3 linked regions of the Arabidopsis thaliana genome follow. The main gene of each other region encodes a partner of the protein of the gene in region 2 in a complex. Each region holds a gene or a part of one and is shown on either strand. Other genes may lie near its edges.

Evidence for each region. The genes of interacting proteins can lie anywhere in the genome.
Region 1: AT5G03500 (region 2) and MED21 share a complex: the UniProt entries of both Arabidopsis thaliana proteins name them as parts of the mediator complex.
Region 3: AT5G03500 (region 2) and AT5G02850 share a complex: the UniProt entries of both Arabidopsis thaliana proteins name them as parts of the mediator complex.

The regions. Positions count from the first base shown.
Region 1 is NC_003075.7:2,430,190-2,435,192, reverse strand, and holds MED21 (mediator 21), read right to left. Parts: upstream 2,942-5,003; 5' UTR 2,831-2,941; intron 2,549-2,830; 5' UTR 2,529-2,548; coding exon 2,238-2,528; intron 2,154-2,237; coding exon 2,102-2,153; intron 1,873-2,101; coding exon 1,796-1,872; 3' UTR 1,558-1,795; downstream 1-1,557. Other genes in the region: AT4G04790 (Tetratricopeptide repeat (TPR)-like superfamily protein), read left to right, coding at 9-186; AT4G04775 (zinc ion binding protein), read right to left, coding at 3,521-3,838, 3,909-4,073. UniProt on the Arabidopsis thaliana protein: Component of the Mediator complex, a coactivator involved in the regulated transcription of nearly all RNA polymerase II-dependent genes.
Region 2 is NC_003076.8:875,493-881,038, reverse strand, and holds AT5G03500 (Mediator complex, subunit Med7), read left to right. Parts: upstream 1-2,663; 5' UTR 2,664-3,265; coding exon 3,266-3,289; exon of another isoform or gene 3,290-3,372; coding exon 3,373-3,513; intron 3,514-3,595; coding exon 3,596-3,665; intron 3,666-3,838; coding exon 3,839-4,005; intron 4,006-4,094; coding exon 4,095-4,168; intron 4,169-4,305; coding exon 4,306-4,366; 3' UTR 4,367-4,599; downstream 4,600-5,546. Other genes in the region: AT5G03510 (C2H2-type zinc finger family protein), read right to left, coding at 1-686. UniProt on the Arabidopsis thaliana protein: Component of the Mediator complex, a coactivator involved in the regulated transcription of nearly all RNA polymerase II-dependent genes.
Region 3 is NC_003076.8:649,988-655,320, reverse strand, and holds AT5G02850 (hydroxyproline-rich glycoprotein family protein), read right to left. Parts: upstream 3,274-5,333; 5' UTR 3,163-3,273; coding exon 1,882-3,162; 3' UTR 1,558-1,881; downstream 1-1,557. Other genes in the region: AT5G02860 (Pentatricopeptide repeat (PPR) superfamily protein), read right to left, coding at 1-1,219; LCL1 (LHY/CCA1-like 1), read right to left, coding at 4,109-4,159, 4,401-4,460, 4,778-4,887, 4,966-5,091, 5,201-5,333. UniProt on the Arabidopsis thaliana protein: Component of the Mediator complex, a coactivator involved in the regulated transcription of nearly all RNA polymerase II-dependent genes.

The sequences.
Region 1 (5,003 bases), on a different chromosome or scaffold from region 2:
TTTGGCAGGATGTATCAGGTTCTACTAGCTGCAGGGGATTCAGAAGGTGCCAAGGCATTGGTGTCAAAAATTCCAAAAGATGATAAAGATGTACAACATATCATCGAAGAAAGTCAGTCTGCATTTTCTCAAGCACCCAACAAGAAGAAACCAAAAAAGAAAATGATTGTTTTATCAACAAAGTAGTGATTTTGTACAAAATTTCTTTATATTGTAATTATGAAGTGAAATATTATATGGACGTCCATATTCTGTTGACCAATTAAAAAAAAAAGAATTTTCTTTCTTTTTTGTTTTTTTGACATCAAATTTATCATTCTTTTCTCAGAACTAAAGTCTTCTATATAACAACCTTAAGGAGCTAAGATGAGTCTCCCGCCTAAAGTCAGAACAAGCGTTGTCTTTTGTCTGGGATATAGTAGTTAGCACCAATCGTCTTTCTCTTACGTGGATTGTCTGCCACAACTTCAGCTTTAGCCACCTCTGCTACAACCACTTCTGCCACCTTTGCTACAGCACCCTCTGCTACAGCCACCTTTGCCTCAACGTCTTCCTCTTCAACAATGTCCTGTGGGTTTCGATTTACGGGTTCGATTAGTTTCAAGAGGATGCAGTCAATTCTGATAACTAGATCATCAGTTTCCAAAAGATCAAGAGGTTTTCGGTATATCATTGGTTCTTGTTTATGGTTTGGCAGGATGTATCAGGTTCTACTAGCTGCAGGGGATTCAGAAGGTGCCAAGGCATTGATATAAAAAATTCCAATAGATGATAAAGATGTACAACATATCATCGAAGAAAGTCGGTCTGCATTTTCTCAAGCACCCAACAAGAAGAAACCTAAAAAGAATATGAGTGTTTCATCAACAAACTACCGTAAAACATCTATAAGTTAATATTGTTTGGGACCGAGAAAATTAATTAATTTATGGATAAATTAATAATTATCAATTTATAAAGAGATTTTACAAATTTTATAATTTCTTACAAAAATTTAATTTTAAAAGTGATCTTTTCTTTATAATCAATAATCTTTCTTAATCCGATTATAAGTAGAAAACAATTATTAAGTTTAAAAAAAAAATACAATTTTTTTTTTTCACATAGTAAAAGTATTAGAATTGAACTTTACAAAAAATTAATAAAAATTAAAGAAAAACAATAGTAGAGTCATATTTCACTAAATATTTTACATATAATATTTATATAAATATATATATTGGTAAATTTATACAATTGTTAATTTATAATATTGATCGGACTGGCTAAAGTTTTCTTTTCATCCTAAAGCTTCATCACGCAGACAAAAGATTGTTGGACTCTATACAAGTCTTGTGAGAGAGCGCAAGAAGGATGATGAGTTAGGATATCTTCACATGCTTGAGTACAAATACACAATCAAGATCCGGTTTTGGACCACAACTTATGGACTGGTCATTTCTTTTCAGCAACTTGGATTGAATGTGACAGATACCAGAGTTCATAGTAATTTGACCATCATAGTAATTTGACCAACACTGCCCGGAGAATCAAACATGATGTGTCAATCATGGCCTGTAATTGTGAAAATGATAAAGTGGATTCTCTGAGATTGTAATCAGACAGGTCAAAAAAGTGTAAGGTTAAAATAATGGTTCTGTTGTTGTGAGCTAACTAACATTCTTGTAATTGCTTCTACAACAATTTTTTGGTGAACCAACTTAGAATAGATATTCCTTATGAACCTAAAAGATAATTGTTGCTGAACCAAATCATATAGTTTCTAAATCAGCTCGACAAAAGGTAAACAAGCATTTCATTCAGGTTTCTTCATGTTCAGGCAATTGTCAGCAGCTTGTCCAAACAGCTCTTGTACTTGCTTTAGCTCCTTCTCTGTCACAAACAAGGTCACACCATTAACATCAGCTCAATCGTCAGAGGCAGTTGCAAGGGAAAACAAAAATTCCAAATTCTAGAACCACTAAAGATAACATCTAACCATAGTGCGTGTATCAACAAGAAAGTATACAAATTGAAATTTGAAGTGCATAATGAATCTGCTCCAGTTACAGACAGATAAGACACACCAACAATGAAGTGAAAACCTAAGATCGTTTTTTACCTGCAGCCTCTAGTTGCTTTTGGAGTTCTTGACCAACAAGATCATTTTCCACCTGAAGAAAAAACAGGACAAAGCGGTTAGACAAATAGAAGTAATCGGATTCAAGAACTCGACATATCGGTGTGACTTGTTTGACCTGGAGTTCAGCGATTCTTTTGAGCTGAGCACCTTCACCACCTTCTGACAAAGGAAGTGCAGCAACCAAAGCATCAAACTGTTTAGCAGCCTTAACTAAGCCAGCACTGAGCTGCTTAGGTTGCTCAGGAAAAGGCGTAGCATCATCAGTAACCGTAGTTGTAGCGGGTGGTTCAGGATAATTAGGTGAAAGCTGGACTGGTGGTGCATCCCTTTGCAGTGTCCCAAAAGCATTGAAAGTGATAGCAGCAATCGTATTCACTTGTTCTTGCAACTGTGAGATTATATCCATCTTCCAAAACCTTAAAAGACCTTGAACAAGTATAAAATTTACAGTAATCAATCACATATTAGACTTTTAACATATACTCAAAAGCAAGATATAACGTTCAGAGAGGATCTAGGAGATTCAAATGGCACAAAATTGGTGGTCAATTCCTGAATTTATCAAACAAGATTCTCAACAAAACTAGTGCCAAAGCATAAATCACTTAAAACCAGTTGGATTTCAGAGAGGATCAAAATGGCGAATCCTCAGGGAAAAAATTGACCTAATCGATTTAACGAAGCATAAGCTTTAACGAAGAGACTTACCCGTCGACAAGATTTCTCCGGCGACGCAGAGTCTGTTGGGTGTGGCAACGACAGATAATCGCTGCGAATTGGGGCGTTTTGTTGTTCTTAATAAACTTCGTTCTGCGTTTTGGGTTTGGGCTCGAAGATTTTTAAAATGGGCTTTTAAGGTGGCCTTTCCTTTGGATTTTTGGGCCCTAATTCCATAGAATTCGTAAGGAACGATTTCTGTTGTTTCTTTAAACCTACTGCTTTAATTAATTGACAACTAATTAAAAAAAAAAACACTGAAGTAGAATTGGGTGGCTGATTTTTGAGCCATAAACTATTTCGATTCTCAGCTTTCACCCCCGGACTTTTGGGCCCTTAAATTTTCACCATCAACTTTCATATTCCTCAAAATTACATCATCTACTTTCGAATTCATGCTTAAACATACATTTCCAATTGAACCATTCATTTAACCGGGATTAACCACAAATCTGCGTTTACTGTACCGCGATTGCGATTAACCTGACTAATACCCAGACCCGTTAAGAAAACGACGTCGTTTTCATTTCGTTTAACTCATCAAAAAGAGAAAGAAAACGACGTCGTTTTCATTCTTCTTCTTCTGCAAAATCGATTTGGTCGATTAGGGTTCTTCATTCGACAATTTTATAACAGAGACTAATCCAATACTACAATTTCACTCCAAAACCTCAACAACACCTACACTCTTCCCCAAAGCCATACAATAGATGCAACAATCACAACAGCAACCCCTACAGTCTTCAAAGCTGACTTTGCCATAACATGTCCTAGCTCTTCCACATTCTCCTTCATGGTCAAGAGTTCACCCTCCATCTTCTTAATCAGCTCTTCCTCCATCTGCTTAGCGTTTTTATTAAGGAGCTCCATATTAGCCATCACGTTCATTCTGAGGTCACTAATATTCTCTACAACTCTCTTACACTTCTCATTTACCATCTTAATTTCGTCCAAGAGAGCTTCATCAACCCATTTGAACAAGTGCTCTTCATTTTCTCTCTATAAAACATAATTTCCAATCATTTACTCCTTCAATCAATCAAATATATCACAAAATCGAAATGTGTACCTTCATTGCTATCGCACAACGGTAGAATCTCCGGTATGGATTCTCCTTTGTTTTCGATGTGAATGTAATGATCTCTTCTCCACACCAACATTTCGAGGGGACACCAGGAGGACAGACACGAAATCCTGAACTGGAAGCGGATGAGTAGTAGCTGTTGGTGCTCATTTTCTTATAAAATTGTCGAATGAAGAACCCTAATCGACCAAATCGATTTTGCAGAAGAAGAAGAATGAAAACGACGTCGTTTTCTTTCTCTTTTTGATGAGTTAAACGAAATGAAAACGACGTCGTTTTCTTAACGGGTCTGGGTATTAGTCGGGTTAATCGCAATCGCGGTACAGTAAACGCGGATTTGTGGTTAATCCCGGTTAAATGAATGGTTCAATTGGAAATGTATGTTTAAGCATGAATCCGAAAGTAGATGATGTAATTTTGGGAATATGAAAGTTGATGGTGGAAATTTAAGGGCCCAAAAGTCCGGGGGTGAAAGCTGAGAATCGAAATAGTTTATGGCTCGAAAATCAGCTAACCCAAGTAGAATCGATACTGATTGTGTCTAGTGCTTTAATTATCTCTAGTAGATCTTCAAGGTTTATGCCTTGTCCCTAGTACATTTTGCTATCTCGGTCTGGTGGGTGAGGTGTGATGGTGTTTGTACTTATGTCTCTGGTTTCAGCGGCTTCTTGCTTTCCTCTCTGTCGATTTACTATTAGTTTTGACTTCGGTGTAAAATCTATCCGATCTTATTGGTGTTTCCGGCGTTCACATTTTTTAGGAGAAGTTTAGGTCTTATTTTTCCCATAGTTTTTTATTTTCTTTTGAATTTTGTCTCTTGATTCAATTTCGTTGGTTTAAAATGTTTCCTTATATATGTTTTTGGTTTTACTTCCTTTTTTTCAGCTAAGTTTCTCAAAATATTCCGTTGGTCTGTTGGCTTATGTATTTCAACTTGTATTCTACTTTAGTTTCTAATATAATTCAGATGAGAAAAAAAAAGAATTAAAACTGATTTCAGTGTACCAAACTAAACTGAAATGAATGAACCAACAAATTTTAAAATAAAATATTATTAAGTTTTTGAAATAAAAGATCAAA
Region 2 (5,546 bases):
GTTTTGATTGCTGAAGTAGCGTTTGCGTTTATTGTTAAACCTCTATGTCTCCTCATATGTCCTCCTAAGGCTTGTCCTGAAGAAAACTCGGCCTTGCAGATTGAACATTCATGTGTTTTCTCCGGTTTCTTGCTACCATCACTACTAGTCACTTGTAGGGAAAGAAAGCTTCCTACGGCTCCAGCTTCCACTGTTTCAACCGTAGACGCAGACGCCGTTTTCTTCTCGACGCATTTGAAAACGCTAGCTCCAAGTTTTGGCTTCTTGTGACTAGCCCTGTGCCCTCCTAGCGCTTGGAACGAATGGAAGCTTTTATCACACGTTTTGCACTGGTAAACACCGTCTAGCCCTAACCCTAGAGAAGCCACCGGTTTCTTGTTGCTAAAGAAACCCATTCTCTGCATCGACAAATGATCGTCGCTGCTCTTTGCTTGATGTCCTTGCGACAACAAGATCAGACAATTCGCCATATCTTCGTCTTCATCGGTAGCTCCTTGGAATTCTACTTCACCAGCAGCTTCTTCTTCTCTTACCTCCACTGATGATCGTTCACCGCTACAAACGCTGGATACTGCAGCAGCGTTCATCATAAGAGGAGACGCAGAACGCTGACGTTTGGTGCGTTTGCCCTTGATGAGGAGAACAAGACGCGCGTGGTCTCCACTCTCCTCAAGAACACTTGTCATGATCCTCCGTTTTTTATTTGCTCTCTGTATTTCAAGAACACAAGAGGTCGTATATGTATATATGGAGAGAAGTATCAAAGAGTGTTTGGTGGGTTTGGTTTATATGTCTAAGTATTTATATATATTTGTATGTGATTGTATTTGTTTATACACACAATAGTATTGTGTGTATATATAATGTAATGGGTAAGAGAAAAGATGAGAAAAGAAGCAAACCCAAAATAACTTTTGGTGAAGGATTCCTTTCTGGAAGTTTTGGTTTGCAAGCCTGGAACCACTTGTTGTTCTCTTCTTGTTTTTATTTTTTTCCTTTCAATTTTTTTTAAATGATTTTCTCTTTTTTTGGTTAACTTTTGTTTTGCTTGTCTTATGAATCACATAAAAAAAAATACTAGTATTTTACTTATTAAATACTCATAAGCATCCTTATAATTTCAAAAGACACACATCATTATAGCTAAAGTAACAAAAATGTGGATTCAATGTCAACACTAATCTTAGAAGATGTTATTTTATTTTCTTTCTGAAAATGAAATTAAATCTGTGTTTTCTGTTCAAGAAGGTGTCATTCTACATATACCATTTTTTCTTATTAATAAAATGAACTACAATTTTGACACTTGGAATGTAATGTATTATATTAAGAAGAATCAAACTGGATTGCGTATTCTAAATATGCCACTCAATTTATTGATTTTTTTTCCTTTGATTTCACATTATCACTAACTAAAATCCTAAAACTTTATAAATAATTTTATATTGATGGCTTGAGTCATCCACAAGTAGTTTCAACACGAAACACAGTACCACAACACACACAATTCAAGCATATTATAAATTCCTGCAAACTTATTACGTTTTGTAACAAATTACATTAAAGATTTGAAACCAACTATTATATATAAAAGCTACTAAAGTACAAATTTAACTTGAAAATACGTCGAATTCTGTTTTTGTTTCTTAATACTACTAATCATTGCGGATATATGTACACTTAAGTTGCTGATTAAATAATTAAGTTAATTAATTGGAAAGTAAAAGGCAATCGAATTTTGGGGTCGAGCAGTTCATGTGCAGTTGAGCCAACCCACAATTACACAACACACAATTATGAATCATGATTCTAGTTATGTATACAATATTTAGTTATAATGATATTAGCTAAAACGAATTAAATATATAATATCACTCCCTATGTTTGCGCCTCTTTCTAAGAAACTTTGATTTTTATTTTGGTTATCCAATTATTTGATCAAACCATTATTAATCTTGTGATTAGCTAATAATATGTATTCGATGAAGTAACCTCCCTTATCGTAGTTTGTAACTGTAGTCTAGGTCTTTGTAGTATAGTATACTAATAAACTCGGTGACAGCAATTTATAAAATTCAAGAAACACATGTTTTTTTAATATTCATTCTACATAATGAGTTTCTTAGAGCTGGATTGATATCCAACTTTTACTCATTCAACTCTATACACATTAGTTGTCTTTGGCTCTCAATGATTATCTTTTGCTAACGTGTTACTATACATACAATAGATCATTAAGAAGAATATTTTTGAGTGTATTGTGAAGCTAGTATCATCACAATTTTAAAATGAATAAATCAGGAGGAATTGATTTAAGTCTTGGCGTCGAGGATTGTGTGTGTGAAAGAGAGATAGAGAATTGCTTGGCCGCCAAAAGAAGCCATTACTTGCCAACTAGCTAGCTTCACTACTCAACCTAAGCAAAGCATATACTTTATAAATAAATAAATAAAATCATAAACATAATTAGTCGTCACCCATCATACATTCATCATCACCATCCTAACAAAACCTTTTTTACAAGGCTTCTCAAAAACCGTTAAGTAGTTGTTGCAACTTGCAAGGATCACCTAAACAAATTATACCGAAACTTGCACAATTGAATTCCAATATTTTAAAAACATTTTTCTTTTGTCATTTGAAGCATATAAAATGGTTCTGAATTCTGATATAGGTGGGTGGAACAGAGTCTTCCCCCATATAGCAAATCCCTCAACGGCTCTAGAAATACGTTTTAAGCTTCACGAGGAATAAGAAGATTAGGAATATATGGGCTTAAAGCAGGCCTGAACTAAATTAAAGGCCCAACTAAAAGAGAGGAAACAAATCTCGATTTGCTTTCTCTGGTGAGCGTGTCTTCTTCCGATCGTCTTCTCCGGCTGCGTGAATTCTCCGCCGAGCCATCTCTCTGGCGAATCTCCAGTGAGTTCTATTATTTTCACTCTGTCTTTTATGCTTCCCGTGAAAGGGATTTTTTTATTTCTCTCCCTCAGATTCTCCTTGTCGCCACCAACTCATTCGTCTCCCTACCCATTTGTGGCCACTGGATTTTTTGTATTGACCTTTCTTTTTTCCTCATGAATCAATTGAAATCTACTGTTAAGCATTTGACGATTTTGGACAAATTGGTGGTGATTTAGGAATAACACGGTTGTGGTGGTGGCGGCTACTTCAACGTGACGATGACAGATTAGTTTCTAGTGATGACAGATTAGTTTCTAGTGGTCGCAGAGTTATTTGGTAGTGATGACATAGTTGTATTCTAATGAGAACAGATTGTTTTATGGCGGTAGACGGATTTGTTTTTGATTAGAAACCCTAATTTTAGGAATCTGTTACTGATTTTGCTTAGTTTTTGATTTGGATATGTAGAGAATAATGGCTACAGCTACATATCCACCTCCTCCTCCATATTACAGACTCTACAAGGATTTCTCAGAAAACACTGATTCTGCTCCTGAACCTCCTCCTCCGATTGAAGGCACCTACGTCTGTTTTGGAGGCAACTATACTGTGAGTCTCCTCCACATTTCCCCCTCTTTAAAATCTTCATCTTTATGTGTTTTTAGCAATTTTCAATTTTTTTGGTTAGTAGACTGAAGATGTTCTTCCAAGCTTAGAAGAACAAGGAGTGCCTCAACTTTATCCAAAAGATTCTAATCTTGGTATGTCATTCTCCTAACTCTGTGAAATCAAACTCAAAATGCAATTGCTATTGGCTGTCTAGAGTATGGTTTTTGGTTCTTCCCTTCATTGGAATCAAACTTATTACATGAGTTCATTTGCAAGTTATGTTCTTTGAAAGTACCTCTTTGAGTTCAAATATCTTTGTGTGTAGATTACAAGAAGGAACTCAGGTCACTGAATAGAGAACTACAGTTACATATATTGGAGCTTGCTGATGTTCTTGTTGACAGACCTTCTCAATATGCGAAGAGAATTGGTGAAATTTCTTCAATCTTCAAGAACTTGCATCACCTTCTCAATTCCTTGAGGCCTCACCAAGTAAAGAAGCTCTCATCTTTCGATTAATTACAACATGGTTTCAACACTTTTTGTTTTTTCATCGTTTTGATCTTTCTCTTGTTGTATAGGCGAGAGCAACGCTTATTCACATTATGGAACTTCAAATTCAACAGAGGAAACAAGCTGTGGAAGACATTAAGAGGTTTGTATATGCTACTTAAGTTTTCTGTCTTTATGGTGTGTTAATAATTTAATATCAATCTATCATCTGTTTAAAGATTCTTCAGAAGCTTTGTTGGTTGTTCTTATGGGTCCGTTTGATGTTTTGGTTGTGTGCAGGAGGAGAGAAGAAGCACAAGGACTTCTTAAGGATGCTTTCGTCACTTTAGATGGTCAATAAAGTATACTTTTTGTTAATCCCATTTTGTGTAAATTAGCGCTAATAACCTATGCCCTCGAAACTTTTTTTAATTGATCCTGTGTGTGTGAGAGAGAGAGACAGACGTGTGCAATCTCATGATTCAACAAGTAAAGCCTATATCATCTTTATTCAATGTTACCCGTGAACCGGCATTTAGTTCCGCCGGTTAGTGCGGTTCAACATTTATTATTACAATTTCGGCTTAACGGGAACTATTATAACCATAACGGATTCATAAGAAGATTAGACCAATATGGGCTTAACGCAGGGCTAAACTAAATTGAAGACCCGACAGTTTGTTCGTAACTACACGTAAGTATCTGAACAACAACAACAGCTTTATAAGGGAATCAACAAAAAATAGTTGAACAAAAAAAAATTAACCTTGTTCAAAGCTAAATCCTGTCAAATATCTTTGGAACCCTAGCAGTCGGTCTTGTCAATTTATCATCAGCATGGACGAATCCGCCATCAAAGTAATCTTCTTCTCCTTATGGACTCTCCTCTTACTCACTCTATTTCTCTTCACAAGAGGATGGAGATGAAGATTAAGATGGATATGGACAGGAGAAAGAGGATGGAGATGGAGAATTAGGAGGGAGATGGAGAATTAGGAGGAGACGAACCTCTTTGTTTTTTTATAATGTATTTACCTTTGTTTGTTTTTGTCTTTGCATGTTAAAAGTAAGTAAGCTCAGTAATCATCACCTGCCTTGATCATGTATGATATGTCATTCTCTGGATGTTAGAAAAAAACAGTAGTAAGCTTAATCTATTAACGTTATCTGCTTTCGGTATTACAATGCAACCTTGTTTTCTAATTTTTAACAAAAATGGATCCAAAGCTATCTTTGAAGGTGATTTTAAACAAGTCATTCAGTTGGTCAACGGGAAGAGTCTTAATTTTGGATTCGGGAAGCAAAAGCCTGGCGACATCGGTTTGAAGATATCCAGTTTGTTTGGACTCCAAGATCAAACAATAGTCATTTTATTATCATTTTTATGCTCCACAATTTATTATTGATGCGCTACATTACCAAGTACTACAAGCTTCAACTTATAAAAAAAGAAGAAGATTAGAACCATATGGGCTTAAACGTAGGCCAGAACTAAATTCAAGGCCCAACAGTTTGTTCGTAACTCATACACACGAAATGTC
Region 3 (5,333 bases), 230 kb from region 2:
AAATACTCATAGCAGATTCGACCTTCCCAGCCCTCTCAAACCCTGACAAAAGTGTTGTATAAGTAAAAACATCAGGTTTCGTTCCCTTTTCCGCCATCTGATTTTTAAGCTCCATTGCCTCATCCAGCATACCATCCCTCGCATATGCAGAGATCAAGGAGTTGTAAGTCACAATGCTCGGAGAAAATCCATTGAGCACCATTTCATTCAAAACCTTCATAGCTTCCTTAGGCCGATGAGACTTTCCATAAACATCTAATAACGCATTATAAGTAACCTTATCATAACTAAACCCAGCAGCCTTCATTTCTTCAAAAACCTGAGCAGCTTCCTGATGCAAAGAGCCTCGTTTACAACAAGTTATAAGAGTGTTGTAAGTATACGCATCCGGAGCAATCCCATCACTCTTCATCTTCTCAACAAGAGACGTAATCTTATTCCAAGGAGTACCCATTTTCCCAAACACATTCAAGATAACATTATACGTTATCAAAGTCGGTTTACAACCATCTTCCTCCATCTTCTTGAACACATTTACAGCTTCCCTATACCTTCCGCTATTAGCAAACGCTGATATCAACGAAGTATAAGAGTAGACATCAAGCGAAAACCCGTCTTCCTGCAAACCATTGAACATATTTGCAGCGGAAGATACTCTGCCTTCTTTACCTAGCATACTGATGATTATAGCAACAACAGAGTTATCCAACATGGATTGATAATCCTTTTGCTTCATAAACCAATCAAAAGCACGCAGAGCCAAATCGAATTTCTTATGAAATCCTAATCCTTTAAGAAAAGCTAGTAACTCCGACGAGGTAGACTCTGGTTTATCCTTAAAAGGCTCGAATAGCTCAGAGAGTACAGAATCTAATTGACCGGAATCAAAATTGGGTTCGATGAGGGAACGAAGAACTTGCTGACCTTGTGGAGAAAGACCATGGTAAGACCAAGGTTTACCGAGGTTAGGGTCACGTGACTTGCCAATTCGAGTCCGGTTACGGTTTCTAGATGTTTGAGAGCTGATGGGTTGTCTGGAATTAGGGTTCTGGTGAAGGAAAACATCGTGGAGGAGAGGCTCTACAGGCGGAGGAGGTGGTGACGAAAGAGACGTAGTAAGAAAAGGCGTCCGAGAGATATGGTGGTTTTGGTCGTGAGAATAAGGTTTAGAGGAAGGAGTGCAGGGAAGGAGAAGAGGAAGAGCTAGCTTGTCCGCCATTAGAGGTAGTAGTAGTAGTAGAAACTAGAAAAGAACCAGGAGGCAACCGAGAGTGAAAGAAGAAGAGAAATGAATGGATATTTTTGTCAGATTTTTTTTATTATATTTTTTTGTTCCAAGAACACAATTTTAGTTTTATTTCCCTACAATTATATTCGACCACGTGGCTAGTCCAGATTCAACAGGTTAGATCTAAATGGGCTACTACTTATTTTGTCAACCCATTATATTATTAGAAGCCCAAATGGAACAATAAACTGTACAATAAAGAAATGGGCAGAAAGAGCCTCTGATATGTATGTATGACCTAAGAGGGATTTTACTTTGTCGTATAGAGAGATCGATCCAAAATGTCAAGTTGCATAACTCCAATAGTTGAACATTCTGAATTTTACTAATAATTTGAAATTTGAAGCTAAAGAATGATTCTGGAAAAAAGATAACCAATAATTCTGTAAACTGAATTAGAATCCAGGGTTTTCGTAAGAAACAACTTTGATACATCAAAGATACTGATAACGATGAAGCATATACTAACATCTATCCACATAAAGGCACTGCTAAACAAAACGAAACCAAGTAGAAAATCAAACTTGATCAAGAATTAGCAGTAACATTGGTCAAATCATTACCTTACAGAGAACCATCAATCACAATGTTGATTAATCCTCATCATCTGAGCTTGCATCATCGCTGCTGTAATCACTGCTATCATCATCCTCCAAAATGTCAAGTTGAACAGCTCGGACCTGTATGACATCAGGCGGTCTGTGGAGTCCCTGAGAAGGTCTCATATGTTGATGATCCTCTGCTCTAGGTGCAGCAATTGACTCCAGTGGCGGTAACACAACTGGGTCGCCTGGTTTCCATCCAGGAGGTGGCAATGGTAAATCTCTAGGCAATTCGACTGGCATTCCTGGTTTCCATCCTGAAGGAACTGCGATATTCGGCGGAAGCAGGTTGTGAATAGCAGATATATCCATAGCTTCTGGTGGTGGTGGTGGCTCAATCAGTGCTTCAACCTTCTTCTCCATGTTTTCTACTGTTTTCGGCAGACCGATATCAAGATCAGCGAAAGTGTAGAGCTGGGAAGCTCTCATTTGTTCGTCTTGTGGAGCTGGTGGTAATGCACCACGGAGAGGTGCTTGCCCTGCACCGAATTCCGGCGGAGCAAATGTGGTGTAGCTAATCTTGTGAGCGTAAGCTAATATGTCCTTTAACTTGAGCTGAGACGAAACTGTGGTTGAAGAAGAAGAAGACTCATTATCATTGTCTTCGTCATCTTCTTCAATTTTGCTTCGTTTTGGTTTGCGGTAATCGGAGTAGTCGTCAACAAGCATATCGAGAACACGTTCTGCATCCTTGAGTTTGTTAGCGAAAGCGAGAAGAGATGAATCTTTGGATTTGATCTCACGCGCCACCTTCTGCTTCGCGTCTTGCAGATCGAGGATCTCTTGAAGCTCTGTAACGGCTTCGAAGAGCTGAGTCTGGAGGGAATTGAATTGAGAGAGGATCTCCTTCGTGGATGAAGGACTAGGGTTTTCAAGCGGCGGCGGAGGTGGTAACGAGTGTGAGGAGAGGAACGAAGGGAGAGAGCCACGGAAAGCTGAGAGCCAGATAGCTCGATTGGGAGAGACGTCGAAGAGCTTAGATGTCAAAACCGCCATCTGCTGGAGAAGAGCTTGAGCTCGCGGTAATGGAGGAAGGAGCGATAGCAAGGCGGAGGATGAAACAGCCGCCGAAGCTGAGGCTGAGGAAGCGGCGGCGACGGTGGAGGAAGGAAGTAGATTAGGCTGTTGTTGGATCTGTTGGTGCTGAGATTGGGAAGATGAAGAAGAGGTTGGATGGCCATGACGAGTAGGCGTCGGATTTTGTACGGAAGGAGAGCCAGGACCTGTTAACCCTAATCTCGCCGGAGATTGTACGATCTGATGCTGTAGCATCTTCGCCGACGGCGAAAGAATCTCTTAAATCGAAGATAATTAAAGAGACGAAGCTTCTCTTCTCTGTTTAGTGTTCAACTGTTTATACAAAATTCGCAAACCCTCAGTATCAATTAGAAAAGTCTAAAGACCCGCTAAAACCATACCGATACGGTTCAATTTCCTAATTACCATTAACCTGGCTTTCGAACAATTGTTATTGACAATAACAGAGACGAATCATGGACGTTAACGCTTGATACAAGTGCAATACAACAGAGTTATGTATCTCACTTCCGAGTTAAGTAACAATTTGCTACTGTGTTACATAGCTTTTGGTTAAACAGATAACCAGAAAATAACCAATCAGAGAACGAGGTAAAGAAACTTACATATTACAAAAGGCATGAAAAAATAATTATCAAAAAGAAGATACAATTGGTAACCATTTTCTACACACACATACATATATCTACCATTCACACGACTGGTTCTGACCGAAACTGCATATGTTCCTCTTGTTTGTGACGACGACTCAGTTATGTTCTCCTCAGACAACAACCGTAGAATGCATCTGACACAATCCACCATATACAGAGATCAATAGCAATTTGGTAGACCGTAAGAGCAATATTCTTAAGACCTTAAGGGTAGTGTAATCAGAATAATAGCAGCAACGCTGAGAATATAACAGTTATGATCTACAGATCATTCTTATTATGACGTTCGATCATGTGAGACAATAACTACAGTAACAAATGAGAAACATTAAGGTGAAAACCTTAGTGAACTGTGGTGTTAGGTTTCGATATAATCTATTAAGTCAATGCGAACGTTCTTATTATAGTGTTTTATATTGGTGTCGGAGGGATGCGGTATAACACCAAACTTACTTGATAGCTGGTAGAGAGTTGTTGCGAGCAAGAAGTCGTCAAGAAGATATATAACTTGTTGAGTGCACAAACAGCTAAGAGCTTAAGTGTTCATGACCTTCCTCTGCAGCATCAACATATTCAGACTAAATTATGGTTAGATTATATCTCATAGAGCACAACAATCCTCATTTAATCATTGGAACGGTTAAAAACATAACACACTAAAGGCGAACTAGTCTTAATTTCTATAGTTAAACTTCAAGGCAGATAGTAAGTAGGTTTGTTAGCTGTTAGAGACTTTTTCTCACTCATTCTTATCACGAAAAGACAAATGTGCCTCACATACTCAACGAGCACAGAAGTAATGATAAAATTATAACTTACAGTAGGTTCAAAGTCAGGGTTTGACAAGTTCACTGTGAGGTTTCTCATCAACAGCAAAACCTGCAAGAAAAACTGTGATTAGTGACGGATACTAGGAAAAAGAACAATCACTGACAGCTACAAATAGGTACCATGACACCTAAAACTGACTCATGGTTGTAACAATCCCATTATTTGACCAACATCTCCATAGAATCATGGTACTTTGGCTTTTTGGTGTTTCCAACTCGTGAATCTATATATTGCAAGTACTGATCTTTATATTTATCTTCTCACACAGCTGAATTTATTCGGGAACTCAAAGAAGAAGACTAAATGATTGATATGCTGCAACACACATATCAGTTAATCTAAAGGCAAGTAAAGCTCCAACTCACAGTTTCGAAATTTATAGGATCCATTTCCTTGAGCTTTTTCATGCGGCCTTTGCTGTCAGGATCGAACACACTCCCAATGAAGTTATAAACCTCAGCAAAATCAGGAAGACCTGCAAAGCAACCATTACAACAGCGTCCACCACAAAATGAAAACTAAGAAATAGTCCCTCAATTGTTCAGATAATTACCATGCATTGAGGGAGCTTGTTTCGCCAGTCTCAAACCCTTAGAATCTGATAGTGTTCTGCTTGAGCTTCCGATACCAGATGCTGAAGGACTAGTTTCACTTATCATGTCATTTGATCCAACATCAACTGAAACAATGATATGTAAGCCGCATTTAGCATATGAAAACTTCAGAAGATAGAGTGACTAGACTACCAAAGCAAAATATAAAAACTGAGTACAGATGAGAACGCATGCCTTCTGCTCCACAAAGAGTATCAAGTTCATCTTCTGGTGGAATAACCCCACTTACAGCAATGTTTAACAATGCAGATGTATCATCATCCCATGGAGTATATCCAGGCAGGTTATTTATTTGAGTAGGAAAGGA